Linked DNA regions of Macaca mulatta. The protein of the gene in region 1 purifies or fractionates together with the protein of each later gene. This does not show direct contact. Links are inferred from orthologs where the notes say so. Each region holds a gene or a part of one and is shown in the gene's direction. Other genes may lie near its edges.

Region 1 (4,066 bases):
GGATATTTGTAATTCCCAAGTCTTAAACTTCATTCTGAGTTTCTCTACTGCCAGCTTTGATTCAGCTTTTTCTTTTTTTTTTTTTTTTTTTTGAGACGGAGTCTCGCTCTGTCGCCCAGGCTGGAGTGCAGTGGCGCGATCTCGGCTCACTGCAAGCTCCGCCTCCTGGGTTTACGCCATTCTCCTGCCTCAGCCTCCTGAGTAGCTGGGACTACAGGCGCCCGCCACCGCGCCCGGCTAATTTTTTGTATTTTTAGTACAGACGGGGTTTCACCGTGGTCTCGATCTCCTGACCTTGTGATCTGCCCGCCTCGGCCTCCCAAAGTGCTGGGATTACAGGCGTGAGCCACCGCGCCCGGCCTGATTCAGCTTTTTCAGATCTGCTGAAGTTAGTTATCTCTTGTCCATCTCCTTGCTCCCATCAGCTATGTTCTTGCTCTTGTATTCTCTCCCATTCTTCATTTTTCTGAATTTTGGCCTTTAAAAAAATCCCTTTCCAGTCATCTTTGTCGAGTTTTGGAATGAAGGAAAAGTAAACATCTCTTTGTTTAGCCAGCTGTCTTGACTTGGAAGCCTGTAAGTTAACTTTTTGTATGTTTGTTTTGTCTTTAAAAATATCCAAATGGTTTTTATCTGTTATAAGAAACTTTTCTAGTAGCAGTAATAAAAATTGGGTGCTAGAATTATGTAAATCACATAGGGCAACTATTGAAGAATGCTTAATGAAAATTCCCACAGTATACAGTTACATGAAGAGAACGGATAAACTTTGTAAAATTAACTCTGAATTGGAAAGAAATATAGAAAAACGATTTTCTTCTTTAAAGATTGAGTTATGTGCCTAACTGGTAATATTCCTCAAGGAGAACTTACTGGTAACTTATAAATGATTATTGAATTAAGACATGTATCCACAGAAAATATTTACTTTTATGTTAGGTTTACTATTAATATTATATTTAAATTTTTACACATAGAAGTTGAAGAAGTTTTTGAAAATAGTAATAGATATTTTTAACTCTTAAGTTATGAAAATTACTCAGTACCACTACCTGAAGTTAACTCAGGGTTAAACTATGTTGTTTAGCTTTCCGTAATTATTTTACACATGTCCATAAGGAAAGAAGTGGTAATAAAAATTAATTTAGATTATACATAATGTTTTATTGTAACCTGATTAATTTCACCATGTTAACCCTACATGAACATCTTTCTGTGTTAATAAAATAGGTGTATGTTCATATTATAGTCTTAATATAATTGTGTACTTGACTTCCATCAGGGACACTTTTAAAAAGTGTTTAAATAAAAGTGTTTTAAAAAGTGTAAAATAGTGTTTAAAAACTTTTAAATAGCTAGTTAATCTTAATTTTTTAATGTATTATTGTGTGAAACGTGTTTGGAAAGGAGTTTTAGACTCGAACTTTTTTACATTTTTATTTGTTTTTTAAATATTTGGAAAACCATTTTGGTTGAATAACATTTGCACTTACTATCTTTTTAAAATTTATTTTTCAAACTGTTGCAGTATGCAGATTTTGTTGTTACCCAAATCTTCTTGTCTTAGGTCATGCTAAATGTGTAGAAGTTGTAAAAACTTTTAACTTACCATTACTGATGCTTGGTGGAGGTGGATACACAATCCGTAATGTTGCTCGATGTTGGACATATGAGACTGCAGTTGCCCTTGATTGTGAGATTCCCAATGGTAAGTGTTCTTATTATGATATCTTTATTGTATGAACTGTCAGTACAGATGCTCCTCCACTTATGTTGCAATTAGGTCCTGATAAACCCATCATAAGTTGAAAGTATGATAAGTAGAAGATTGATACAACACACCTAACCTACCATACATGACTTAGCCCAGCCTACTTTGAACATGCTCAGAACAGTTAGGTTAGGCTACAGTTGGACAAAATAATCTAATACTGAGCCTGTTTTGTTAAAAAAAAATGTTGAATATCTCATGTAATTTATTGAATACAAGACATTGAAGTTGTGACAAAAAAGCCAGAAAACTGTAAGTCAAGCCGTTGAAAGTCAGAGACTGTATATCAAAATGGATGGATGGATGATTAGAGTAAGTGCCATTCTTTATAAATAGGAGAACATTCACTTTATGTTCACTTTTAAACCTTTTCTTTGGAACTATTTCACCACCTAAATCTGGATTCTGTGCATGGATTTTTGTGAAAACTCAGCTTGTAATGTGTAACTCTATTTTATTGTTTTCAATAGAGTTGCCGTATAATGATTACTTTGAGTATTTTGGACCAGACTTCAAACTGCATATTAGTCCTTCAAACATGACAAACCAGAACACTCCAGAATATATGGAAAAGATAAAGTAAGAAATCGTTGAATTGTTTTGATAAACATTTTATCTTGACAAAGATTTAGGATGCTTTAGAGGGCCAAGTATGATGGGTCCTTTTAACTTTATTAGACATTTCTCTTGTTTCTTTCTAAAGGATTTGAAACATTAAGTTACTGATTATTATTATTATTATTTTTTTTAATTTAAAATTTTTTTGTCAGGATGGGTGTCTCGAACTTCTGGCTTCATGTGATCCTGTCACCTCTGCCTCAAAAGTGCTGAGCTTACCGGCATGAGCCACCGTGTTCAGCCAGTTAATTTCTTCAGTTAATGGAAATAATATTTTTTTATTAGTTGAAAAGTATTTGAAAATTGCAAGGCACACTATAAGTTATTTTCATTGTCTGAAACATTTTGTTAAGGCTTTGTCTCCACAAGCAAAGTAGAGACATTATAGTACATAGCATGGGTTTGAGTCACCTCTGTACCACAAACAAGCTGTATGATGTTTGATAAGTTCACCTGCCTTTGTGCTTGTGTTTTCCCCTCATTGAAATGGGGGACTAAAATAATGCCTCCTTGGTCAGTCAAGGTGGCTCATGCTTATAAACCTTAATGCTTTGGAAGTCAAAGATGGGAGGATAGCTTTAGACCAGGAGTTTGTGACCAGCCTGGGCAGTATAGTGAGACCTTGTCTGCAAAAAATTTAAAAATTTGCCAGGTATGGTGGCGTACAGTTGTTGTCCTAATGCAGAGGCTGAGGCAGGAGGATTGCCAGGAGTTTGAGGCTACAGTGAGGAGTTTGAGGCTGCAGTGAGCTATGATCTTGCCACTGCACTCTAGTCTGGGCAACAGAGAGAGACCTTTTAATTTATAGGCTTAGCTAGACCAAAGATGAAATTTTTTGCTAAATATTTTCTCTTGCATGTAAGAACTGCAAAGAAATTGAATTTTGTCTAATAAACTTTGCGTGTGTAATTTAGACAGCGTTTATTTGAAAATTTGCGCATGTTACCTCATGCACCTGGTGTCCAGATGCAAGCTATTCCAGAAGATGCTGTTCATGAAGACAGTGGAGATGAAGATGGAGAAGATCCAGACAAGAGAATTTCTAGTAAGATAATGCCTTTATTTTTCCAGTTTGTCAAAATGATACTTCAAATTGAAGGTTTTAGTGGCCTAAGAACTTCACTGTTAAGTCATGTTCACGAGCACACTATTATTATTGTCATTTTTGCCACTTTCAGAGATTTACCTTCCTGATCTCAAAACCTGATTTGGGTGTCAGCAGTTTCAGTTTGTATGGCTGGATATACATACATGATTGAAAGTTATCAAAAGCTAGCCACTTCAGTATATTTGGCAATTAATAAGACATCTCATTTATCTGAAGTAGGGTGAACCAAATAACTAAACATCTGTTTGATTTTGCAACTTCTCATTACACTTAATATGATGGTTAGATTGTAGCATAATGGTACATGTAGGGCATAGACTGTCTTAACATATTTGGTATTGGTACTTTTTTTGGTCTACTTCACCTCTCAGCTCTGAAATAAAATGCTACTTTTTAAGTAATGATATTATTCCTATCCCCATTAGAAAAACACACTTTTTTCCTTCAGAGTTTCAGCATTTTTAAAAGAAAAAGAAATTCCCCCAATTTTTATTATGTGTTTTCGAGCCATTTCTTCATACTTGAAAGCAAAGTTTTCAATATTAAGTAAACCATTCATTCCATTCAAA
Region 2 (4,590 bases), on another chromosome or scaffold:
GGAGAGCGGTAACAACGTAATCCCGTCCCCTCCTGGCGCCGAGAGAGCGCCCCCCAAAGTAAGGTCAGCGTCAGGCCCACGCCCTATTTGGTGAATAAATAAAAGCAAACTAGGAATTGAAAGCATTTTGTCTCACTGTGCGTTCGAGGCACTGTTACCTACACAGAGAGGGCACAGGGACTATTAACACTCCTGGCTAAGGAGAAGGTGAACAGCCGTTATGTCCCCAACTACGGAAGTTTTATCCCTTCTCTGAGTGTGGCATGTTCCAAAGGTTAATTTATGCTGTGGCCTGTTTTGGTCCTTTTCTCTTCTTTCTCAGTTCTGAGGATGCCTACAGATCCACCCGGGAGATCGTGAGTACCTTGTGCCTCACGCTCCGCCTTCCGGAGGCTTGCCAGGGCGGTGGCTGTTAGGGCCCGCCTCTCTTTTGGTTATCTCCGCCCTCTTAGGCACATTCAGCTCTAGGGAGTGCGCTGGCAACCCTTGGGGTTATGGGTTATTTCTCTGCCTAGGTCTCCAGACCTTAGTTCTGTACTGTACTTGACTGAAAGGAGTTGCCAGCTGCTCCGGATATTTGTGTTTACAAGGACGCAGTGTGTAGAATGTAAACTGCAAAGATAACTGGATAGGGAGGATGAGTTCGCATTCTCATTTTTTTTGTAAGAGAGTCCGCCGGGGTGGACTGCCTTTCCTTCAAATCCTAGGATGTGGAGTCTCCGCTGATGAGCTCCGCTCCCCCTCCTGTCTCGGGCCCTGGAACTCCGAGCTTCAGTCTCTAGTGTAAACATTCCACAAAAGGACTGCTAAGGTTCAGCCTCCTCGCGCAGAGCGGAATTAAGTTCCTTCCTAGACGGGCGCCCTGGCCAATGGAGGGTCCTACCAGTGCCAAGATAGCCAATCCAACTCTTGGGGCGGGGCCTGGCCCGGCAGTGCAGTAGGCGGAGCCTGTTTCACTTACAGACATTTTACCCCACATCGGTTACTTACCTTACTGGGGCGGTGGGAGAGCCAGGGGTAGCCTTCCAATGCGATGACCGGCGGAGGCGGGAGCCAACTTGTTAGGCCTGTGGCTGAGACGCTGCGGGGCGGGTTATGTGGTGTCCTCCAATGAGACAGGAAGAGCTTCCCCGCTTCCTCCAATAGCGTTGTGGCTCGGGGGTGGGCTTCAGCAGTCTGTCTCCAATAGGCGGGGTTGAGTTAGGGACGCTCCCCGCCAATAGGGGCGTGGAGAAGGTGAGCGGCTCCCTCTCCCCTCCCAGTCGAGGGGGAAGGGGCGGGAAGTCATAAGGCAGGGCTCGGTGATTGGCTCAGTCTTTGACGGGCGGGTATTGCGTCCTGTGTTGGAACGAAGCTGAGTCTTCCCCCTGCGGGGCGGGGTCGGGGGAGTGGGCGGGATTTCCCGGGTAACAGAGAAGCGGCCGCGGCGGTAGAGGCGGCGGAGACGGTTTCTCCATCTTCCCCCCTCCCCTTCCCCCCTCGGAGTTTCCCTCCCTCCCTCCCTCCCTCCTTCCCAGTCTGGGCACCGGGGCCTGTGACCGCTTGGTTAGCGGAGAGGTAGCTGGCAGTCCGCTTCGGCGGGCCTGTGCCCCGCGCCGTTCTCAGGGCCTCCCTGCTGAGCTCGCGGCTCACGCCGAGAGGGACACGCAGTGACGAGCGGCCGAAGCAGCTTTGCGGTGAGAGCACGCTGGGCCGGGGGCCGGGCGGGAGCCTAGTGGCGGGTAACGCCGGACTCGAGGGTGTGTATTTTTAGGGGGGGCTGACCTCCTCGGCTTCCCGTAGAGCAGACGGGCGGGAGGTGTGTGGCTGTGTGAGGGGGGTGGGGGGCGGAGCAGGGTAGCTCTCCTCGCGGGAGGGGGAGGAGAGCGTAGTCCCGGTGCGCGCGGAGGGGGGCGGGCTCTCGCGCCGCCGCTCAGAGGCGGGGCCGGCGCGCGCGTGCGATTGTGGAGAAAGGGGCGGGGCCGGCTTCTCGCTGAGTGCTGTTTGCGGCCGACCACCCCCTCTCCTCCTCCTGGGGTGGGCGGGGCCTCGGGCTGGCGGCCGCGCTCTTGCCTGCTGGGGTCGGGGACGGGTAGGGGGGTCTCCCGCGTGTAGATTCAGGGCGCGGCAGGGAGGGGGCGTGAAGTCTGAGTTTCTCCGCCTTCTCGGGATCCGGTTGGCCGGAGGGGCCGTACTGATCCGTGATGCCACTCCCCTTGGCCGTCCCCCGCCTCCCACCCCGGCCCTGGGTTTCCGCCTCCTTGGCAATGAGGCGGTGCTAGGGAAAGCCCGCTGTCGGGTCTGGCTGGGAGTCTCGCCGCCTAGGTCTGCCCCGCCTTATGTCTCCGTGGGGAGGGAGGGGCTCCCGCCGACTGAGAGCTGCGGAGGTGTCAGGACTTACTCTTGTGGCTCGGTCATGCCTTCTGCCTGGGGCACAAGGGCCCTATGCCGGAGCTGCTTTCTCTGTTTGCTCCATGCAGCGTGTCTGGCACCGTGCAGCTGAGAGAGTGGGAGCATGGTCACCCCCACCACCCTCCTGGTTGTATCTATTGGGGCGAAGTGCCTAAGGTCCTCTTGTAGGAGCGTGTGTGGCTGGTGCTGGAACCCTGTTTCCGCGGTGGTGATGGTCGGGGAGGGGCAGGGAGTCATCAGAGACTAGAAATGTGGCGGAGAGAAAACCTTTCTGGGGTTCCCTCGATGTTCAGTTACCGTGGCTGTATGGGGCGGGGCTTCCTTTGAGCCAATGGGTGGTGGGTAGTAGACTTGGCGTCTGTTTCGGTGCGTTAGGACTTTAACCAAGTTAGCCTTGAAAAGGCAGTGGAAGCTCCTCCTCTTTACAAGGCTGAGATTTATAACAGGAAAGTTGGGATTTACATTTTAATCTCAAAACTGGTCTGTTTATAAAATAGGTTTTTTTTTTTTTTAAGAAAAATTCAGACTTTGAATAAAATATTCTGATATCTCTGACGCTTGTAGTTTTGAATGCTTTCATTGTGCAGATGGTTCTACTATATAAACTTAGTTTCCTGGCCGGGTGCGGTGGCTCATGTCTGTAATCCCAGCACTTTGGAAGGCTGAGGCGGGCCGATCGCTTGAGGTCAGGAGTTCGAGACCAGCCAGGCTTACATGGCGAAACCCCATTTCTACTAAAAATACAAAAATTAGCTGGGCATGGTGGCAAGAGTCTGTAATCCCAGCTACTGGGGAGGCTGAGGCAGGAGAAATCACTTGAACCCGGGAGGCGAGGTTGCAGTGAGCCGAGATCGGGCCGTTGCACTGTAGCCTGGGCGACAGGAGCGAAATTCCGTCTCAACAAACAGAAAAAATTTGGTTTCCCAAAGAATTTGCTATTGAGGTAACTATAGGTGAGAAGTCTTTTCTTTCTGGTTTTATGTAATTATGTTCGATCATCTAGACCACTTTCTATTTATAGTATACATAGTACAGTGTTCTTGCCCTTTATATTTCAGAGTAGGGTGAAGTTGTGGATCAGGGTAGCCTTCTGTATGTGACTTCTGTAGCGTTGCTCTCCAGCCTGCATTGGAGAGTTGCCTTAGGACATTTCAAATCTAACCTATAGCAGAACCACATTAGATGAGGTTTTTGCTTTCACTTGATACATTATCTTTTCCTATTGAGAGAAATTATTTCAATATTTTTCACATTTTTCATGAGAAAAATAAACATGGAACCAATGTTTATTTATGCAGTAATGTCTAAATGAGCCTGAATTTAGACATTGGTTTAAATGTCTAATTATCTGACATTAGATATTGTTAGATAATTAGTTAATTATCTGAAGTGAAATTCTAGATTTGTGCTTTGGTTAGTAGGGCCTGAGTGGTGCCCTGTGCTGTGTTTATGTGAAAAGGGTAGGTTCTATCTTGTCTGCCAAGGAAGTTGCAAAAGCAACAGCATTTTAGTTTAGCTAATGATGGCTGTAATAGAATTGATGGGGAGACAAAAAATCCAGGTGTTTTTTTCCTGATGCCATAAACAGATAGTGGAGAACTATTGACCACTGAGGAAAATTTGGTCTACATATAGTAGTTCCCATGATTTGCAGTGCTGTATACTGGGGAACACAGAAGAGTCTTTAAGGATTCAAGTAAGAACTTGGTTTTGCTGTATTAGGAGCGGTTTCATAAATGCTTCATAATCTCCAGATAATTATTTTATATACTATAATGTTGCTCAGAGATAAATAGCTTAGAAAGATTGGCACTTCGTAATTAAGAGGGTTTTAATAATTTACATACAGAGAAAGACTTTTTTTCTTTTTTAAGGAAGGAGGTGTGTAGTAATTTGACAAGATTCCTGGCAAAGTATAATTCTTTTTACATCTTCAGTGTAAGCAGACAAGACACTGGAGAGCTGTGCATGGCAGATGTTAGTACCCAGGAATTTTAATTGGAATTAAAAGGTTATGTCCATGGCATTCAGTAGTTCAGCATAGTGCTTTTCAAGGCTTTCTCACTTTTCTGGGCAATTCCACCAGCCAAGAGTTTGTTAGGCTTTACTTTCTGTAGGCCTTTAAAAAAAAAATACGTGGTATATGCTTTTTCAAAATACACCTTCCTTGCCCCTTGAATAATAAAAGATGATATTTAT
Region 3 (4,066 bases), on another chromosome or scaffold:
CTCGTGATCTGCCTGCCTCAGCCTCCCAAAGTGCTGGGATTACAGACATGAGCCACCGTGTGTGGACTTTTTTTTTTTTTTTTTTTTTTTTGAGGCAGAGTTTCGCTCTTGTTGCCAGGCTGGAGTGCAATAGCGCAATCTCGGCTCACTGCAACCTCCGCCTCTCGGGTTCAAGTGATTCTTCAGCCTCAGCCTCCTGAGTAGCTGGGATTACAGGCGCATGCCACCATGTTTAGCTAATTTTTGTATTTTTAGGAGAGACAGGGTTTCAGCACGTTGGCCAGGACGGTCTTGATCTCTTGACCTCGTGATCCGCCCGCCTTGGCCTCCCAAAGTGCTGGGATTACAGGCATGAGCCACCACGCCCGGCCTAATTTTTATTTTTTAATAGAGATGGGGTTTTGCTGTATCGCCTAGGCTGGTCTCAAACTCCTGGGCTCAAGCGATCCACCTGTCTCAGCCTCCCACAGTGCTGGCATTAAGTGAGCCACTGTGCCTGGTCTCCAAAAACTTTTTAATTATGAATTAAGGGATGATAAACCACAACTACTTTGGGGTTTTTAACTTTATTCACTTTGAAGAGTTGGTGCAATCAAATGGATGAAATATAAGTTTAAAAGTTTGGAAATCAAAACCATTATTACTGGAGTATTTAATATACTCTGTGTATTATGTAAAACATTCAGCTTTATAATGGCTTCTTTAAGCTCACAGGAGGTATTTTAAAGCAGTAGTTTCTATAGTATATTTAAAATATGGTTGTGATTAAAATATGTTTAAAAGTTGGAGAGAGTATGTTTCTATACTTGAGATGAAATTTACTGTATTTTTGTTTTCTTTAGGTTACCTTGTACGAATGTCATTCACAAGGAGAAATCCGGTTGTTGCAATCTTACGTGGATGCTGATGTATCCTTTCCTGGGTTTTTAATATCTTTGGTCAAAGGAATTTATTTTCTTTTTTTTTCCCCCCCGAGACGGAGTCTCACTCTGTCGCCCAGGCTGGAGTGCAGTGGCCAGATCTCAGCTCACTGCAAGCTCCACCTCCCAGGTTTACACCATTCTCCTGCCTCAGCCTCCCGAGTAGCTGGGACTACAGGCACCTGCCACCTCGCCCGGCTAGTTTTTTGTATTTTTTTAGTAGAGACGGGGTTTCACCGTGTTAGCCAGGATGGTCTCGATCTCCTGACCTCGTGATCCGCCCGTCTCGGCCTCCCAAAGTGCTGGGATTACAGGCTTGAGCCACCGCGCCCGGCAGGAATTTATTTTCAATAAGTGCACCAAAACTTTTATAAATTAATCAATTCCCTAAAGTTAGTGTCCTTTCTTAACCTATTTCTTCACTATCACCCAAGAGAATCCAGGTATCTAGTTTTCCTGACCCTTAGAAATCCATTGTGGTATGTGTCAACTCAGCTAGGCAAAAAGAAAAAGAAGAAAATCCATTGTGGGATTGATGTGCTGGTTGGGTGCAGATGTCTAGAGAGATAGGAGCGTTAGAAATCTAGTAATAGAAAATGTTAGCAAAGACTGGTTAAAACCTCCTTTTTCTTTGACCTTGTCTAGAATATATCATTTCATTGTAGTTATAATGATGAACTTGGGTTGTGACTGGTAGTCATTCCAAGTATTTGATCAGTGAAGCCTAGGAAGAAAAAAAAAGTTTAGGAAAAATAAAATATATGCATATTATATATATATAATATATAAAAAATAAAATAGGAAATAACATATTGCAAAACAGGTTCATAAAGAAACAGAAAAATTTGAAAAGCCCAAGAGTTAGAGCAGTAAAAGCTAAATAATAGGATATTTCTTCCAGATCAATTTGAAAAACCTAGCAAACAAGGCAAGGCAAGGACATTCAGTTTTCTCTGAAAGATACTAAAATGTGACCTGTTGTTATATTGAGAATATCTCACAAAGAAAGAAGTGGAAAACTGAATTGTTCTTATTTAGATATTTATAGACGTATGGGGATAGAGCAGAGGTTAAACTACAGCTTGCAGGTTGGCCACCTGTTCTTGTAAAGTTTTGTTGGAACACAACCGTGCCCATTCGTTTGTATATTGTCTGCAGTTATTTTGGTACTACAACTACAGAGTTGAGTAGTTGTACAAGCAGCTAAAGAGTAAACAAAATTGAGTGGAGAGACTAATTTTGTTTGATCATTTGTTATGGATTTTAGACCTCAAATTACCATTGTATATATTTGGTTGTATAAGGAAAATTGAAAACTTTTGTGTCAAAACCTTTAGCAGTTCTTTGTAAATTTCTATTATAATTATTGACATGTTTCTTTTTCAAAAACATTGTGTTTCTTAACTGTGGAATTTCTTAGGCTGATGAAAACTTTTACACTTGTGCATGGACCTACGATAGCAATACAAGCCATCCTCTGCTGGCTGTAGCTGGATCTAGAGGCATAATTAGGATAATTAATCCTATAACAATGCAGTGTATAAAGGTGGGTTTTTCTGGTTGAATTGTAGATCTGCTTCTTTTGAATCCACAACTGTAAAAGCTTGTAATGTTAAATTTAAAACTAATGGTATGAATGTAACATTTCTGATTTGATTTGTACTTTTCTTACTGCTCTCTTTAGATGAATCTTTTGAGACCTTTGTCACATTTGGGTAATGTAAATTGAGGAATAAGTGGAGAAATGTTAATATTTGTAGTGTTTTCTTTTTAAATAATTTACCTCCTTCACCCTTGTCTTGGTTTGCCTTGAGAGGCTCTAAATGAACAATAAGAGCGAGTCCATTTTCCAAGACACCTAAACTGGAGGGGGGTTGTCAAAGGGACTTTGTAAGGAACATAAAGATGAAGCCTAGGAAGTTGATAAGAAGAGAAGTTTTTCAAATCACTTTCATCAGCTGTTTTTAACTGTGGGGACACATCAGAATCACCTGAGGATCTTTTAAACCCTACACATATTGGAGCCTCCGCTAATCCGATCAGAATATCTGCAGGTGGAGTTTTGAGCATCTTTTTTTTTTCTGCTTTTTTTTGTTGTTGTTGTTCTTAGACAGTGTCTCACTCCTTTGCCCGGGCTGGAATGTAGTGGCATGATTATAGCTCACTGCAGCCCGTCTCCTGGGCTCAAGTGATCCTCCTGCCTCAGCCTCTCAAGTAGCTGGGGCCAATTTTTAGTTTTTTTTGTGTGTGTGTATGAAGACAGAGTCTTGCTACATTGCCTTGGCTGGTCCTGAACTCCTGACCTCAAGCGATTCTGCCTTAGCTTTCCAAAGTGCTTGGATTAAAGACATGAGCCACCCACTGTGCCTGGGCCCCCTTTTTTTTTTTTTTTTCCTTTTCACTTCAAGTTTGTTGGTTGATTTTGTATGCAGCCAAGGTTGAGAACCACTACTTTAAGTGAAACTATTTTTACGTTCTCTAAAGATTTATGAAAAAGAAAGTACTGATTTTGAGATGGGAAACTTGAAATGTTTTAAATTTATTGTAGCACTATGTTGGCCATGGAAATGCTATCAATGAGCTGAAATTTCACCCAAGAGATCCAAATCTTCTCCTGTCAGTAAGTAAAGGTAAGAGAAGCAAATGTTTCTTTAGTCTGTGCAGTTTGTCAGCATTAAGATGGAGTCACTAATGTCAAGAGAACCTTGACAAATAGGAAAAGCCATGAGAAGAGAGTTCACATGGTTGTATGTCTGATCATAATAACTCACAAAAAAACACAGCCACAACCTTGCACAAAGGCCATCACAACCTTACACAGAAAATACTGCCAGTAAGTGCCTTTCCACTCTCAGACTGGCATCACCCTTGTTACTGATTTTGTGGCCAATCTTATTTCAAAACAATTATGTAATCCTTCTCATTTTTTTTCTTTAAAAACCTCTGTCTTTCCTTTACCTCTTGGAAAACACACATAATTTACTTTGGCATGTACATTCTCATTGCAGTGCTTTATTTCCATATAAACATCTTTGATTTTAGAGAGCCTGTTACTTAGGTTAACAAGTCCTGTTTTATTTCAAGTCTAGTATCTGATAGTTATTTTTCCTGATCTCTCTCCTCCCACTCTGTACCCTCCAGTAGGC
Region 4 (4,066 bases), on another chromosome or scaffold:
AACCAGAGATTCATGCGAGGGGTTAAGCATGGATTAGGTCAGCAATTCTCCCATTTCTTGCTGGAGGCCTGCTGAAGCACTTCAGGGTCTCTTCCCAGAGTAAGTGGCAGAGAATTTGAAATTAGATGCTCCCCATACAAGGATCCAAGTACCTGTTGCTTTTATGCTGGGATCACAGAGATACCCGGGTTGCGTGTGTTTCCTAAGAAAAGGATGTCTGTTTTGGCAGCAAACTTAGTGAACGGCTGAGGCAAAAACAAGTGCAAAAATGGATTCTCAGATTTCTCATTGAAAAATGCCATGACAAAATCTGTAGTAATTTTACACCACACTCTCAATTCAGTTGACATAAACAGTCAAATGTAGACATACTTGTTTGTTAAGTCCGGTCTTCCTGCTTGTGTTGGTTCACTTTGCGGTTGTTTATTTTGTTTTAGGTCAGAGAGGATGAAATGTCTCTGTAGACAGTCTCAGGCTAGGTGGTGCTTCCACCAGGGCCTCCCTCTGCAGGCCTGGTAACAGCAGACCTATGCTGTCTGTGTAAGAGCCTTCTCAGCAGCACACCATCGTTACCCACCAGGCTCCTCACGAAAGGAAATCTTGTCCCAACTGCCTTGGCTGTGCTTGGCAGTGTGCTCTATATAAGGAGAACAGGATGTATTTTACACTTGAGACCTGCTATCCTAGAGTACAACAACAACACTTCTAAGTGCTCTTAATATTAAGCTAATGGAAAACATACTGTTTATTCACCATCAAAGTCTGTTTTTCTTCTCTCCTGCCCTCCCCAATCATCACGAACTCCAAACCTCTAGAACACACAGAGCGTTTCCTGCACCATCTATCCTCCAGTCTGTCTCAAGATGGACAACTACATGGTTAGTTAGCTAGAGGAGGACTTGGAAAAGCTAGGCACTTACCACATAAACCATAAAATCCCCAGACTGCACAAACCAAATTTTCCTCTTCTCAAAAAAATCTCAGTGCTAGAAATGTTTTGTTGACTATCAGATTCATTTTATTAGTGTGAAAAGTCACTTGTCTTCACCAGAGTGCAACAAAGTGCAATAAAATGGTGAAGGTGGGCCAGGGTTTCTGGGTGCTGGTATTATTGGAATGCTGGTTCTTTCCTTGTCATGTAATGGCCAAAGTTATTTGGACCCCAGAAGTCTAATCTTTATCTTCCATTGCTTTGTATTGTGAGAAGCCACATCTGTACAGGGTTTCCCGTTGACAGGACTCTAGCATATGGCCCAGGTCAGTCCAGAAATGCCCAAGGTTCCCCTGTCACTGAAGGCTCTATCATAAATATAGCATGGGAAGAGGGGGGCAGAGGGACAGAGAAAGCAGAATGGGACTCTGTCCCATAAAAAACGGTTCACAAATCTACTCATTTCCTATCAGCATTTTGTTTTTTGCTTGGGTTTGTCTATAAAGTAAAGTTAATGTATGCATGTAAACCAGCCTTGCAGATAACGCCCACCCCCATGTTTCCAGGCTACCCACAATATTACCAGTTTTCCCCTTGCTGTTTACCCATCTCTTTCCACAAAACAATAATCAAACAACAAATAAACAAGCAAATGAACCAAAGACCACCTCTCCCCATTCCTAAAACAAACCCTTTCCCTTTTGTCAAAAAGACCGAAATTGAAAACAAAACAGAAACTGTGGGAAATAACTCTCCACTCTTCTTTTGTTTCAGGCCTTGGGCCTGTTAACTATCTGCAAGGCTGTTGTAATGATGTTAATCTGTTTTAATGGAATTGAAATGTGATATCCTGTGGTTTATGATGCACGTTGTTTGTAGCTGTAGTGCTTGATTTTGGGTTTCTTTCACAGATAAACTTCTGCACTGGAGGGGCCTCTCCTCCCCTCGTTCTGCACATGGAGCTCTAATCCCCACGCCCGGGATGAGTGCAGAATATGCCCCGCAGGGTATTTGTAAGTTGAGCCTTATTTCTTCTACAAATGTCCATGTGTATAGAGATGACAGTTTCTGGAAATTGCCCTTACTTTTTAAGTACTGAACGGAGTTACTTCCAAAATAGATTGTCATATGTATTATTCCATTACTCACTTGGCAGACGCTCCCCACTCCACTCAGCCCCAGAGGGACTTCTTGCCTCCCCTTTTTCTTTCCTCACTGGAGGCTGGGAGCTGAAAGTAGCTAATCCCTGTGGGTCTTCTCCCCAGGGTCTTGTCTGGCTCCATGGCTAGTGATTGAATATGTCTGTGCCTTTGGAGCCCATTTTATTACTGGACATTCACTCCTGTGGCCTCATTTAGGACTTCGGGTATAGTCCAATGCACACATCTTTAGCCAAGGCCAGAATCAAAAGCAGTCAGTTTAGGGTTATTCCAGAGTTATTCTAATACATATTCCTTATGTATTTACATGTATATTTGTACATAGTATATTTTATATATACATGATCACACATAATTTTGACTTATTTTTCTCCTAGTTTTAGAGGAAAATGCACATCATTTTAGTTAAAATGTGAAGGTTCTACTATCACCACCACCACCACTACCACCACCATCACCACCACCACCACCACCACCACCATCACCATCACCACCAGTACCATCACCACCATCACCACCACCACCACCGCCACCACCACCACTACCACCACCATCACCACCACCACCATTTACTTGTTCAAGCGAGCTTTTATAGTAAGGACCATTTTATGAAACTTAAATTTGTCCATTTATACAAATGTTTTCTGAAAGATACTGTTTTAGAAAGTAATACAGTTTGCTTCTCTGTGTAGGAAGACATGGTATGAATCATGCATGGCTAAAGGGTTGGGGGGTGGGCAGTGATTCCGCCCTAAACACAAAAAAGTAGGTTCAAGAAGAAAAGAAGTGTGACCTCTAATTTTTATTTGAAAGTAAATGAAAAATAACCTGCTGTGGAAAGAAAAGAAAAGAAAAGGAAAAGGGTCATGGAAAGAGAATAACAAAGAGCAAGATGCCAGAGTTAAGGCTCTAAGGGGGACTGTTTTTAGACGGGAGGGAAATGACACTTATCCACCTTGTAAATGGTATCTGAAGAGCAGGGCATGCACCCTGAGACCAGAGTCAAAGCCAGTTGTTTATTTTTGTTAACTCCTAGGTAATCCTAGGTAACAAAGAGTTATTGTGTGAATTTCATAAGCCCTCAGGTCCTGAGGGCTGGGTGGTTCAGGGGTTAAAAGCACCTCATCTGCCCCCCTTCCCCAAGCTGGGCCTAAGCCTGGGTTAGGTCACAGATTGCAGAGGGTTTAGGGGGTTGGACTCAACGGTTTCTAGTCCCTGCATGCTGGCTGGGTGGGGAGAGCTCTCCTGTTGCTGGGGGCATCTGGGGCCTGCATGGGGCTGTGGGAACGGAGCCACTTTTGGAGGGAAGGGAAAGAAGGCAGTTGAGCAGTTGAGAGGAGGGTGGAGTTGAGAGGCCAAGGGCTGCTGGCCAGGGAAACATAGTTCTCTGTCTTCAGCCTGGTCTTCCTGAGGGCTGGGAGTTTGATTTGACTGGTAGGAAAGTCTGAGCTTGATAAGGAACTCCTGTCCTCTCCCACCTTCCCACAAAGGGAGGGTACATAGTTTACTGGTGCCCCTGCCGGCAGGACCAGTTTAGGAGTGACCAGAACAAGGTATGTGGAAATGGGTTGTGGGGGTCCAGAAAGCTCTAGAACAAATCTGATGCCCATTCCACTTGGCGGCATTAACCTGCTGCCCCCGGCTTCTAGAGCTCATAGCACTTCCCTTTGGCCGCCCTGCTGTGTGCCAGTCACCCCTGCTCTTTCACTACAGCCTCCTTTTGGCCTGGGTTAAGGCCTGGACTGGGACCTTCCTCTGGAAGCCGTGCGGGGTGTGTAATGTGGTTAGTCATTACCCTCAGTAATTAATCACCCCTGGTAGTAATGAAAATTCACATTCATGTTGGACCTGATAGTTTACAGAGGGCTTTTATATACTTCTGTCATTTGAACCTCCCAACAATTCTTTACAGGTACTGTTTTTATGCTCATTTTACAGATAGGAATTCTAAGACTCAGAGAAATCAAATGACTAT
Region 5 (4,066 bases), on another chromosome or scaffold:
AGAGTGCTGTGGCATGATCTTGGCTTGCTGCAACCTCTGCCTCCCAGGTTCAAGCAATTCCCCTGCCTTAGCCTCCCGAGTAGCTGGGATTACAGACGCGTGCCCCCACGCCTGTCTAATTTTATTTTTATTTTTTTGTTTTTTTTCAGTAGAGGCGGGGTTTCACCATGTTGGCCAGGCTGGTCTCAAACTCCTGACCTCAAGTGATCCACCCACCTCAGCCTTCCAAAGTGCTGGGATTATAGGTGGGAGCCACCGTGCCCAGCCAACATTGTCTATTTTTGTACCTCATTATCATTGTTTTTTGGACTCTACACATGAAATGGTTACTCTTTCAGAAGAAAGTGTAATGGAAAGAGTACTTGGGTCCAAGTTCCACTTTTTTCCTCCTCGTTCTGACCTTGGGCAAGTTACTTACCTGTTTTCTCCTGTAGAAAGTGGAACTCTTGGCCGGGCGTGGTGGCTCACGCCTGTAATCCCAGCACTTTGAGAGGCCGAGGCGGGCGGATCACAAGGTCAGGAGATCGAGACCACGGTGAAACCCCGTCTCTACTAAAAATACAAAAAATTAGCCAGGCACGGTGGCGGGCGCCTGTAGTCCCAGCTACTCCGGAGGCTGAGGCAGGAGAATGGCGTGAACCCAGGAGGCGGAGCTTGCAATGAGCCGAGATTGCGCCACTGCACTCCAGCCTGGGGGGCAGTGCCAGACTCCGTCTCAAAAAAAAAAGAAAGTGGAACTCTTAATCACCTACGTCGTTAATTAACTTGCAAAATTAAAGTGATACACATAAAAGTACCATGTAAACTATTAAACATTTGCCATCGTAGCTGTGGACTGGATAATTGCTCAGCTAGCTTGGAACATAAATTCTGAATGTTTAGAGTAACTAGTTTACTAACTTGTGTTATTTAATTTTTTTTCCATAGTATGAGGTTGATGAGCTACGCCGAAAGAAAGAGATTACAGTGAGAGGGGGAGATGTTTGTCCTAAACCTGTGTTTGCCTTCCATCATGCTAACTTCCCACGTAAGTATTCTTCAGTCTAGAGCCTTAATTTGTTAAATTGGGTTGAATGGGAGACATGGGTATTAGGTTAAACTCTTTGAGCCAGGCTTGGGGTTTTGTTGAAAGGACAAGAGATTGTTTTATGGTTTTATGGTCATCAGTTCTTTTGTTCTTGTATTTAGACTGATAATTTTTTTTTTAAGGTTTTTATCTTTTTCTAGGGTTTTGCCCTCTGCCTTTTAGAAAACAGCAGAATGAAATTGCTTTCTAGCTGGACATGATGTGAATTTGGTAAACAATAAATGACTACCATGTTCCCATGTCCTGTTAGATGCTTTAGGGTAACGTTTTTTCAAATTTCTGAGAGAGGTAGACTATTATAGCAGCTTTTTTTTTTTTTTAAACGGAGTCACAACTTTGTCACCCAGTTTGAAGTGCAGTGGCGTGATCTCAGCTCACTGCCTCCTCCGCCTCCTGGGTTCATGCGATTCTGCTTCACCTTCCCGAGTAGCTGGGTTTACAAGCGCCCGCCACCACTCCTGGCTAATTTTTGTATTTTTAGGAGAGACAGGGTTTCACCATGTTGACCAGGCTGGTCAACTCCTGACCTCCACTGGCCTCAGCCTCCCAAAGTGCTAGGATTACAAGCGTGAGCCACCTAGCCTGGCCCAGAGCAGCTTTACGGTAAGCTAGTCGGAGATCCAGTAGATAAAGAAAACACTGGAGAGATGAAGCTGGGTAAATCTTACTTTAGTGAGCTTAAAAGTTTTTTTAAAAACTCTTTTGGTTTGTGCCCTTAAACACAATAAAATGTGTAAAATAAAATTCTCTTACAGAATATGTAATGGATGTGTTGATGGATCAGCACTTTACAGAACCAACTCCAATTCAGTGCCAGGGATTTCCGTTGGCTCTTAGTGGCCGGGATATGGTGGGCATTGCTCAGACTGGCTCTGGGAAGACGTTGGCGGTATGTATGAGCAAGAGAAGATCCTTGATATTGTGGTAACTTATTTTGCTATTCTGATTATCATGTGTTCTCAGTTCTTCATAGAAATGCTGTTCAGATAGTGTAGGTACTATTTTAGGTATTAAATATATGAAAGCATTTTATGTTCAAATTTGCATCGCCTGCTGTATGTGGCAATGGTGAGTTCTGTTTTTCACTTTCCTATTTATGCATTAATTCAGTAATTACTAAGATAGTATTAAGTATCTTAGTAAGATTGTACTTCTAAGTATAAGGTTGTCATTCTTTCCCTCCTCCACAGTATCTCCTGCCTGCGATTGTTCATATTAACCACCAGCCATACTTGGAAAGGGGAGATGGCCCAATCGTAAGTGTGTTTCAGTTTCTTTGTAATTCTAAGAAAAACTACAATTTAGCAACTATTTAGGCATGGTGGTTTACATTATCCATTTGTACTCTTCACCACACCCTCCATACATGGAAATGGTTTCATTCTCATCTTACTTGCAGTTAAATGACTTACCCAAGATCACTCAGCAGTTGAATAGCTGAGCTTACATTTGAACCAAAGTCTTACTCCTAAAGAAACTATGCATGCTATATGGGCACTTACTGTGCAGTAAAGTCAAGTGTTTTCTGGGTGGTTGTTTGTTTGTTTGTTTGTTTGTTTGTTTGGAGTTTCGCTCTTGTTGCCCAGTTGGAGTGCAATGGCGTGATCTTGGCTCACCGCAACCTCCACCTCCTGGGTTCAAGCGATTCTCCTGCCTCAGCCTCCTGAGTAGCTGGGATTACTGGCATGTGCCACCATGCCCAGCTAATTTTGTATTTTTACTAGAGATGGGTTTCTCCATGTTGGTCAGGCTGGTCTCAAACTCCTGACCTCAGGTGATCAGCCTGCCTCAGCCTCCCAAATTGCTGGAATTATGGGCATGAGCCACTGCATCCAGCTTTTTTTTTTTTTTTTTTTTTTTTGGGGGGCGACATAGTCTCACTCTGTAGTACAGTGGCAAGATCTCAGCTCACTGCAACCTCTGCCTCCCAGGTTTAAGCCATTCTCCTGCCTCAGCCTCCTGAGTAGCTGGGATTACAGTGTACACCACCACACCCGGCTAATGTTTGTATTTTTAGTAGAGATAGGGTTTCGCCATGTTGGCCAGGCTGGTCTGGAACTGTTGACTTCAGGTGATCTACCTGCCTCGGCCTCCCCAGGGTGCTGGGAGCCACCACGCCTGGCATTGAATGTGTACTTTTTTTTTTCTTTCTTTTGAGACGGAGTTTTGCTCTTGGTTGCCCACGCTGGAGTACATTGTTGGCACAATCTCAGCTCATTGCAACCTCTGCCTCCCAGGTTCAAGCGATTATCCTGTCTCAGCTTCCCAAGTAGCTGGGATTACAGGCACGTGCCACCACACGCGGCTAATTTTTGTTTTTTTAGTAGAGACGGGGTTTCACCGTGTTGGCCAGACTGGTCTCGAACTCCTGACTTCAGGTGATCCTGCCTCGGCCTCCCAAAGTAATGGGATTACAGGTGTGAGCCACCACGCCCAGCCTACTTTTTAACTTTAAGAATTAAGCTTGCATTTGTCGTATGTATTTATGAACATGTACAGTATGTCTCAAGATATTCACAAAAAGAAATAATGCAGTACTTTATATAATACATAGTATATGTCTGACAGCATTATTAATTAATATCTAATGGATCAGTATACAAAGCAAGTTTCATAATTTGGTATATGATACCTTGATTTTTGTATTATTTGGCCAGATTGTACACAGTTTTGTCAGATTACATGTAAATTTTCATTGTTTTTGCCTTATCTACCTGGTGAAGTGCTTAAACTAGAGGTCAGGAATGTGTCCTTCTGCCAGTTTTGTGACTTCTAGTTTAAGTCAGGTTGACCATCCAAAATTTCAAATTTTAGGCCAGGCACAATGGCTCACACCTGTAATCCCAGCACTTTGGGAGGCCAAAGTGGGCAGATCACGTGAGGTCAGGAATTCGAGACTAGCCTGGCCAACATGGGGAAACCCCATCTCTAGAAAAATACAATAATTAGCTGGGCGTGGTGGCGCATGCCTTCAGTCCC
Region 6 (4,693 bases), on another chromosome or scaffold:
AATTAGAAGTCCAAATGCCCATGGCCGGGCGCGGTGGCTCACGCCTGTAATAGCACTTTGGGAGGCCGAGACAGGCAGATCACTCATGAGGCTGAGGCAGGAGAATCACTTGAACCTGGGAGGCAGAGGTTACAGTGAGCCAAGATGGCACTATTGCACTCCAGCCTGGGCGACAAGAGAGAAACTCCATCTGAAAAAAATGAAAATAAAAATGTCCGTCTTCAGGATGACTAGATAAACAAACAGTGGTATATTTACACAACAAAACAGTATACAGCAGTGAAAAGTGAATTAACTGTGAAACAGATGAATCATAGTAATATGTTGAGTGAAAAAAGCAAGTAACAAAGGACAACAAATCATATGATGCCCTCTACATAAAAGTTCAAAACTGGCCGGGCGCGGTGGCTCAAGCCTGTAATCCCAGCACTTTGGGAGGCCGAGGCTGAGGTCAGGAGTTCGAGACCAGCCTGGCCAACATGGTAGAACCCCGTCTCTACTAAAAAAATACAAAAATTAGCCAGGAGTGGTGGTTGGCCCCTTTAAATCCCAGCTACTTGGGAGGCTGAGGGAGGAGAATCACTTGAACCCGGGAGGTGGAGGTTGCAGTGAGCTGAATGCCACTGCACTCCAGCCTGGACGACAGAGCGAGACTTCATCTCAAAAAAAAAAAGTTCAAAACTAAGGAAAACCAAACAATATATTGTGTAGGCATGCAGATATGAGTAATTTTTTTTTTTTTAATACAGAATTCTGGCCCAGGCGTGGTGGCTCATGCCTGTAATTCCACTTTGGGAGGCTGAGGTGTGAGTATCGCTTGAGCCCAGGAGTTTGAGACCAGCCTGGGCAACACAGCAAGACCCATCTCTAGTTATAATTAATTAATTAATTTAAGAAAATACAGAATTCTGGCCCAGCGTGGTGACTCATTCCTGTAATCCCAGCACTTTGTGAGGCCAAGGTGGAAGGAAAGTTGAGCTCAGGAGTTCAAGGACAGCCTAGACAACAAGGTTAAACCACTTCTCTACAAAAAAATACAAAAACTTAGCCAGGCATGGTGGTGTGCTCCCATAGTCCCAGCTATGCAGGAGGCTGAAGTGGGAGGATTGCTTGATCCTAGGTGGTAGAGGCTGCAGTGAGCCAAGACTGTGCCACTACACTCCAGCCTGGGCGACAGAGCGCGAGCCTGTCTCAAAAAATAAATACATACAATACAATACAATACAACGCAGAATTCTGCACGGTGGTGGTCCCTTAAGTTTTGCAATGGGTACACGGGTGTTTATGGTATTAATTTAAAAGTTATAAATATACATGAATTTTAAGAAGAGGATCCATGCAAGGTTTAATGATAATTGTATGTCATCCATTCGCTCAACTGAAGTCGGCCTTCCCCGCCCCCTGCCAAAAGTAAACACTTTTCTAATCAGGGCCAGCCACTGGAGAAACTGAAATGAGTGGGCGGGGTGCTAACTCTATTTTCACTTTTCTCTTCCTGTTTCTTCAGAGCCTGGGAAACAAGTCAGAATTTCCAGTCTTTTCCAATTCCCACATGATTTCCTAATTCAAGACGAATTCAGAGAAAATAAGTCTTTCTCCATCTGGAGAAGACTCCGCCCCCTGGAGCATCCTCCTTCGGGGATGAGGCCTGAGGTGGGGCTGCGCCAGCCCCAGCCCCCACAAGGACGCGCCTTGGGCTTGGTCTTGGGGGAGCTACCCGCACTGTGGGGTCACATGACAGAATTAGTGGTCAGCCCTAGCTGGAGGTCCAGGGCAAACACAGGCGGGGGCAGTGGGGTTGGGGGTTGTGGCCCTGCTGATTCGAGTGTCCCCTGTGGGTTCCGGACCTTCTGAGATACAAGCGCCAGGCTTCAGAGACGAAGCTCCGGGGTTTACCCCTGGGGACCCCCTGCTCCTGCAGCCGCTGAGGGCCGGCAGTTTGGCTGCATAGTAAGCTGGCGCTTTAGCTGGAGAGGGACGAGCTCTCGGCCAGCTCGCCAGCGGGAGGGCCTCAAGTTGTCCCATCCGGGCTGCAGGCTCCGCAAAGCTCCCTGATGCACTGTCAGAGGGGGAGGTCCGGCCGCTCCCCTTCCCCTACAGCCGCATCTAGAGTGGGGTAGGTTGGACATTTTAACGTGCTTCTGAGACAGTCACCACCGAAAGGCACCTTTAGCGATGAGGAAACCGGCGTGGAGTTCAACCACCCGGCCTCTGCGGAGCAGAAGGCCCGACTGGGCCTTTCCCTGCGCGGGGCGGGCGGCCGCAGCCCCGTAGCCCGGGCTTTGCTCCAGACCCGGCCCAGAGTGACATCACCAAACTCCGCCGATCGGTGGGAGGGGGCCCTGAAATCCCCTAAAAACAAAGTGAGTAATCGGCGGACCCGCCCTCCAGGCGGGGCCGGGACCCGGGAGCTAGCCGAACCACCGGGCACACCAGCCTCTTCGTCTCCGGCGACGCGCGCACTTGGCCCCGGCCCCCGGCAGCGGCTGTGCGCGCGGCCTCTTCGTCCTCCGCGCGGCGCGCACTTGCTCCCGGCCCCTTCGCCGGGCGGCGGCGGGGCAGCGCGCAGGCGCGGCCGGATTCCGGGCAGTGACGCGACGGCGGGCGCGCGCGGCGCATTTCCGCCTCTGGCGAATGGCTCGGCTGTAGTGCACGCCGCGGGCCCAGCTGCGACCCCGGCCCCGCCCCCGGGACCCCGGCCATGGACGGTGAGGTCGCCCTCTGACCCCGCGGGGTGGCCGCGCCGGGACCGCCCCGGCTGTGGCGGGAGGCCCCGCGCCGCTTTCCGCCCCTTCCTGCGCCGACTGGCGCTGCGCAGGGAGCGGTCGGCCTGCCGGATGGTGGCGCGGGGCGGGGCAGGCGGGGAGGGGTCTGACTCAGTTTCCCCTCTGGGTGGAGGGGGGCCCTTGACTCAGCATCCTCCCTGGGTGGGGGAGCAGAGGGAGCCTTGACTCAGTTTCCCTCCACACCGTCCATGGGGGCAGCTCTGGCTTCGTTTCCCTATTAGGGGAGAACGCATCTGATTCAGTTTCCTCTCTGGATGGAGGTGGGGCGTGCCCTCCCTCAGTTTTCCTTATGAAAGTACAACAGGCCCTGATTCGGCTTCCCTCGGGAGAAGGATTCCTTACCCCGTTTTCCCTCAAGAAGCAGGTGTTTCTGGTTCCTTTCCTCCACTCCTTAGTTTCACCGCAGGTTCTAGGAAGCAGGTCCTTACTCAGTTCCCCTGGGAGGGAGCCTGGCTTCTCTTCTCTGTGGAGAGCAGATACTCCCTTGTGAGGATGGGCAGTGGGTGTGTGCTGACCCTGATCTCCCTCCCCTTTCAGAACTGTTCCCCCTCATCTTCCCGGCAGGTAAGTGGCCCCCGCAGCAGTCCGGGAGGTGTTCCCTGGGGTAGGGCAGCGGGGGCAGCTGTCTAATGGGCCTGCGGTGTCCCCTGGCAGAGCCAGCCCAGGCCTCTGGCCCTTATGTGGAGATCATTGAGCAGCCCAAGCAGCGGGGCATGCGCTTCCGCTACAAGTGCGAGGGGCGCTCCGCGGGCAGCATCCCAGGCGAGAGGAGCACAGATACCACCAAGACCCACCCCACCATCAAGGTCAGCACTGCACCAGGGTGTGCGGGGAAGGGACTGTGGAACCCCAGCCCTCTGTGTTTGGGAGTCAGGTTTGGATGTCTGGGCCTCTGTACTTTGGACAGATCAATGGCTACACAGGACCAGGGACAGTACGCATCTCCCTAGTCACCAAGGACCCTCCTCACCGGCCTCACCCCCACGAGCTTGTAGGAAAGGACTGCCGGGATGGCTTCTATGAGGCTGAGCTCTGCCCGGACCGCTGCATCCACAGGTGAGCTCCCTGCAGGCTAGGAGGCCCAGCATGAGGGAACAGGAGGCGGGCTATGAAGTAGCCGCTACAGTGTTACTCCTTTCTGGACACAGGGCAGAGTTGCTTACTTCTTGCTCTGACTCAGCTCTGCAAGTAAACTCTCTTTGTCTTGAAATGATCTATTTGTACCTCTACTCTAGCACAGATAAGAGCTCCAAGGGATATGGATGGGTCCCTAATCACTTCTGAATCCCTGACCCCTGTAGCTGGAAGGACAAGTCCCTTGGAGTCATGTCTCTTGTTTGAGAAAGAAAACCACTGAACCAACACTCTCCCCTGGAGGTGACATTGCAGTTGACAGAAACAGGCCTTAAAAAAATATACAGGCCAGGCATAGTGGCTCATGCTTATAATTCTAGCACTTCCGGAGGCCAAGGCAGGAAGATCTCTTGAGCCTGGGAGTTCAAGACTAACCAAGGCAACATAGTGAGACCCTATCTCTACAAAAAAATAAGAAATTAGCTGGGTATGGTGACTTGTGCCTATAGTCCCAGCTACTTGGGAGGCTGATGTGGGAGGATCACCTGAGCCCAGGAGGTCACCGCTATGGCAAGCTATGATTACACCACGACACTTGGGTAGCAGAGCGACACCTTGTCGTGTTTTTTTTTTTTTTTTGAGACGGAGTCTTGCTCTGTCCCCAGGCTGGAGTGCAGTGGCGCAATCTCAGCTCCCTGCAACCTCTATCTGCCGGGTTTAGACCACTCTCCTGCCTCAGCTTCCCAAGTAGCTGGGACTACAGGTGCCCGCCACCACGCCCAGCTAATTTTTTTGCGTTTTTTTTTTTAGTAGAGAAGGGGTTTCACCATGTT
Region 7 (3,245 bases), on another chromosome or scaffold:
AGGAGCATTTCCACAGCTCCCAGGCTTCTGTGAGAGGTGCAGACGGCCATTTGCACCCTTGTCACCCAGTATGTGCTCAAGGTGTGGCCAGGCCAGTCACTTCCCTGGCTTTCCCCATCTGGGATCAGGTTGGGTTCAGCTTCCTGCTGCCTCTTTCCCCCTCTGAGCTGTGGGCAGCCATAAGTGACAGCTCCATTCCTTCTCCCAGAGTCCGGATGCCCATCCAGCCTCCAAGCAAAGACACAGAAGAGATGGAAGCAGAGGGTGATTCCGCCACTGAGATGAATGGGGAGGAGGAAGAGAGTGAGGAGGAGCGGAGCGGCAGCCAGACAGAGTCAGAAGAGGAGAGCTCCGGTGAGCCCCTACACAAACACACACACACACACAGCCCCCACGCACAAGCATGCACATACATGCACATACAGCCCCTAGACACAAGCATACTCACACACAGCCTCTGCCACAAGCACACACACACAGCTTCTACACACAAGCATGCACATGCACACACAGCCCCTTCACACAAGCACCTACACACAGCCCCTGCACACAAGCACATGCACACGCACACACAGCCCCTACACACAAGCACATGCACATGCACACACAGCCCCTACACACAAGCACGCACGCACACACACAGCTTCTACACACAAGCATGCACACATACAGAGCCTCTACACACAAGCACGCACACACACAGAGCCTCTACACACAAGCACGCACACACACACAGCCCCTTCACACAAGCACGCATGCGCACACACACAGCCTCTACACACGAGCACCCACACACACACACAGCCTCTACACACGAGCACACACGCACACAGCCCCTTCACACGAGCATGCACACACACACACATAGCCCCTACACACGAGCACACATGCACACACACAGCCCCTACACACGAGCACACGTGCACACACACACAGCCCCTACACACAAGCACGCATACACACACACAGCCCCTACACACGAGCACACATGCACACACAGCCCCTACACACGAGCACACATGCACACACAGCCCCTACACACGAGCACACATGCACACACAGCCCCTACACACGAGCACACATGCACACACAGCCCCTACACACGAGCACACATGCACACACAGCCCCTACACACGAGCACGCATGCACACACACAGCCCCTACACACAAGCACGTGCGCACACACAGCCCCTACACACAAGCACACACACACACACACACAGCCCCTACACACAAGCATGCATACAAACACACAGCCCCTTCACACAAGGACGCATGCACACACACACACATGAAGGACGCACATGCACATATGTGGGTACCCACCACCCCTCCCCAGAGCTAGCCCTTACTGGCGTCTTGTCCCAGAGATGGACGATGAGGACTATGAGCGGCGCCGCAGCGAGTGTGTCAGTGAGATGCTGGACCTAGAAAAGCAGTTCTCGGAGCTAAAGGAGAAGTGAGCATGGGGACACCTTGGGCTGGGTCTGCGAGGAGCTGGGATGAGGAGGTGGTGGGCCTGGTACTGGGCAGGCGTGGTTGGTGCCCAGGAAGTGCACGCCTAACACAGGGCTTGCTGTGGAATGGGTGCTGGGTACGTGTTTGCCCAAGAGCAATAGGTGAGCAAATGGGTGCACGGCTGCCTTTTTTACCACCCAGGTTGTTCAGGGAACGACTGAGTCAGCTGCGGTTGCGGCTGGAGGAAGTGGGGGCTGAGAGAGCCCCTGAATACACGGAGCCCCTTGGGGGGCTGCAGCAGAGCCTCAAGATTCGCATTCAGGTGGCAGGTCTGTGGGTGGTTCTGTGCCTTTTTCCCCTCCCAGAACCCATGGCACCCTGTCCCCTTCCTCTCTTGTTCCTCCCTGGCCTCACCCTTTGCTTTCAGCCCTCCTGTGTGGGCACCAGGCTCCCCAGCCAAGCAGGGCCCCTCCTTCCTTTCTCTGCAGGGATCTACAAGGGGTTCTGTCTGGATGTGATCAGGAATAAGTACGAATGTGAGCTGCAGGGAGCCAAACAGCACCTGGAGGTGGGCCTGATTGGGCACACTGGGGACAAGGCGGGGCGCAAGGCCTGAAGTGAGCTCTCCCCATCCGTCCTGCTGAGCTATTGCCCCCTCTTCCAGAGTGAGAAGCTGCTGCTCTATGACACACTGCAGGGGGAGCTGCAGGAGCGGATCCAGAGGCTGGAGGAGGACCGCCAGAGCCTGGACCTCAGCTCTGGTGAGCGCGAGAGCCCGGGCACCCCGGCCCTGGGCTTGGCTCTGTCAACGCCCACCCCTTTCTAGACTTCAGATGTCCTGAAGTCAAGGGGACAGTCAGAGGACCTGCCTCTTGGGGTCAGTGTGAGGACTGAAGGAAACCAGGCCTGGAAAGGGCCTGGCACACAGTAGGGGCTCGGGCAGAGTGGGTCTCCCTGCCCTCTTCTGCCCCTGCTCTTTCCAAAACAGGTATCAGTGTGACATGCAGTCCCATGCAATAGCTCTAGTCCCCTCCACGTTCATAGTACCTGTGTTCATGTGGAGTCCTGGGGTGGCAGGAATTGTCATCATCCCACTGTCCACTAAACAGATGAGGCTCACAGAAGTGCAGCGGCCTCTTCCCGGGGTTGCGCAGCTGTGCGGGCAGGACCTGAACAGCCCTAAGGGGCTTCCTACCCCAAGCCCAGGGTTGTGATGGGGCAGGGGATATGAGGCCAGGCTGGCCCATGGTGGGGGCAGAGGCTACAGAAGAGAGAGTGTCCTGTGGGCCAGCACCCCAGTTCTAACTCTGGGTCTGGGGGCAGAATGGTGGGACGACAAACTGCACGCCAGAGGCAGCTCCAGGTCTTGGGACTCCCTGCCGCCCAGCAAGAGGAAGAAGGCACCTCTGGTTTCTGGTATCCTTTCACCCAAGGTGGCCTAAAAGGTGGCAGGATGTTAGGGTCACCTCCAGACCTGGGGGAGAGGTTTGGAGGGGACATGGAGGACAGTCGCACTAGATGCACTTGTGGTTGCTTGGTGTCATGTGACCATGTCCAGGCAAATCCAGCTGTCAGCAATTTCTTACAGGGTCTTGGGTCTCTCTGGGCTATGTGGACCCTAGGAAAACAGAAACGGGCTAGGCTCAGTGGCTCACATCTATAGTCCCAGCACTTTGGGAGGCCAAGGCAGGTAGATTGCTTGAGCCCAGGAGTTCATTTCGAGACCACCTTGGGCAACATGGTGAAACCCGTCTCTAGAAAAAATAGCAAAAATTAGCCAGGTGTGG

What was found.
Region 2: the proteins of HDAC2 (region 1) and SIN3A purify together in Homo sapiens (affinity purification with western blotting; 24 studies listed by BioGRID and IntAct, with this or other methods). This does not show direct contact. The link is inferred for Macaca mulatta from reciprocal best matches to the Homo sapiens genes HDAC2 and SIN3A.
Region 3: the proteins of HDAC2 (region 1) and EED purify together in Homo sapiens (affinity purification with mass spectrometry; 5 studies listed by BioGRID and IntAct, with this or other methods). This does not show direct contact. The link is inferred for Macaca mulatta from reciprocal best matches to the Homo sapiens genes HDAC2 and EED.
Region 4: the proteins of HDAC2 (region 1) and BCL11A purify together in Homo sapiens (affinity purification with mass spectrometry; 4 studies listed by BioGRID and IntAct, with this or other methods). This does not show direct contact. The link is inferred for Macaca mulatta from reciprocal best matches to the Homo sapiens genes HDAC2 and BCL11A.
Region 5: the proteins of HDAC2 (region 1) and DDX17 purify together in Homo sapiens (affinity purification with western blotting; 3 studies listed by BioGRID, with this or other methods). This does not show direct contact. The link is inferred for Macaca mulatta from reciprocal best matches to the Homo sapiens genes HDAC2 and DDX17.
Region 6: the proteins of HDAC2 (region 1) and RELA purify together in Homo sapiens (affinity purification with western blotting; 8 studies listed by BioGRID). This does not show direct contact. The link is inferred for Macaca mulatta from reciprocal best matches to the Homo sapiens genes HDAC2 and RELA.
Region 7: the proteins of HDAC2 (region 1) and BRMS1 purify together in Homo sapiens (co-immunoprecipitation; 4 studies listed by BioGRID and IntAct, with this or other methods). This does not show direct contact. The link is inferred for Macaca mulatta from reciprocal best matches to the Homo sapiens genes HDAC2 and BRMS1.

Annotation. Positions count from the first base shown.
Region 1 is NC_133409.1:19,012,605-19,016,670, reverse strand, and holds part of HDAC2 (histone deacetylase 2), read left to right. Parts: intron 1-1,567; coding exon 1,568-1,708; intron 1,709-2,241; coding exon 2,242-2,350; intron 2,351-3,303; coding exon 3,304-3,434; intron 3,435-4,066. UniProt on the Homo sapiens protein: Histone deacetylase that catalyzes the deacetylation of lysine residues on the N-terminal part of the core histones (H2A, H2B, H3 and H4).
Region 2 is NC_133412.1:53,492,304-53,496,893, reverse strand, and holds the start of SIN3A (paired amphipathic helix protein Sin3a), read left to right. Parts: upstream 1-1,443; 5' UTR 1,444-1,676; exon of another isoform or gene 1,677-1,739; intron 1,740-4,590. UniProt on the Homo sapiens protein: Acts as a transcriptional repressor. Corepressor for REST. Interacts with MXI1 to repress MYC responsive genes and antagonize MYC oncogenic activities. Also interacts with MXD1-MAX heterodimers to repress transcription by tethering SIN3A to DNA.
Region 3 is NC_133419.1:86,850,280-86,854,345, forward strand, and holds part of EED (polycomb protein EED), read left to right. Parts: intron 1-842; coding exon 843-908; intron 909-2,340; coding exon 2,341-2,466; intron 2,467-3,468; coding exon 3,469-3,550; intron 3,551-4,066. UniProt on the Homo sapiens protein: Polycomb group (PcG) protein. Component of the PRC2/EED-EZH2 complex, which methylates 'Lys-9' and 'Lys-27' of histone H3, leading to transcriptional repression of the affected target gene.
Region 4 is NC_133418.1:64,324,123-64,328,188, forward strand, and holds part of BCL11A (BCL11 transcription factor A), read left to right. Parts: intron 1-1,842; coding exon 1,843-1,944; intron 1,945-4,066. UniProt on the Homo sapiens protein: Transcription factor. Associated with the BAF SWI/SNF chromatin remodeling complex. Binds to the 5'-TGACCA-3' sequence motif in regulatory regions of target genes, including a distal promoter of the HBG1 hemoglobin subunit gamma-1 gene.
Region 5 is NC_133415.1:13,035,354-13,039,419, forward strand, and holds part of DDX17 (probable ATP-dependent RNA helicase DDX17 precursor), read left to right. Parts: intron 1-927; coding exon 928-1,027; intron 1,028-1,842; coding exon 1,843-1,976; intron 1,977-2,277; coding exon 2,278-2,343; intron 2,344-4,066. UniProt on the Homo sapiens protein: As an RNA helicase, unwinds RNA and alters RNA structures through ATP binding and hydrolysis.
Region 6 is NC_133419.1:8,726,555-8,731,247, forward strand, and holds the start of RELA (transcription factor p65), read left to right. Parts: upstream 1-1,725; 5' UTR 1,726-2,054; coding exon 2,055-2,116; exon of another isoform or gene 2,117-2,363; intron 2,364-2,588; exon of another isoform or gene 2,589-2,701; coding exon of another isoform or gene 2,702-2,708; exon of another isoform or gene 2,709-2,734; intron 2,735-3,181; exon of another isoform or gene 3,182-3,323; coding exon of another isoform or gene 3,324-3,350; intron 3,351-3,408; coding exon 3,409-3,592; intron 3,593-3,660; coding exon of another isoform or gene 3,661-3,693; coding exon 3,694-3,842; intron 3,843-4,693. UniProt on the Homo sapiens protein: NF-kappa-B is a pleiotropic transcription factor present in almost all cell types and is the endpoint of a series of signal transduction events that are initiated by a vast array of stimuli related to many biological processes such as inflammation, immunity, differentiation, cell growth, tumorigenesis and apoptosis.
Region 7 is NC_133419.1:8,082,767-8,086,011, forward strand, and holds part of BRMS1 (breast cancer metastasis-suppressor 1), read left to right. Parts: intron 1-208; 5' UTR 209-215; coding exon 216-354; intron 355-1,368; coding exon 1,369-1,459; intron 1,460-1,659; coding exon 1,660-1,787; intron 1,788-1,946; coding exon 1,947-2,026; intron 2,027-2,122; coding exon 2,123-2,219; intron 2,220-2,781; coding exon 2,782-2,874; intron 2,875-3,245. UniProt on the Homo sapiens protein: Transcriptional repressor. Down-regulates transcription activation by NF-kappa-B by promoting the deacetylation of RELA at 'Lys-310'. Promotes HDAC1 binding to promoter regions.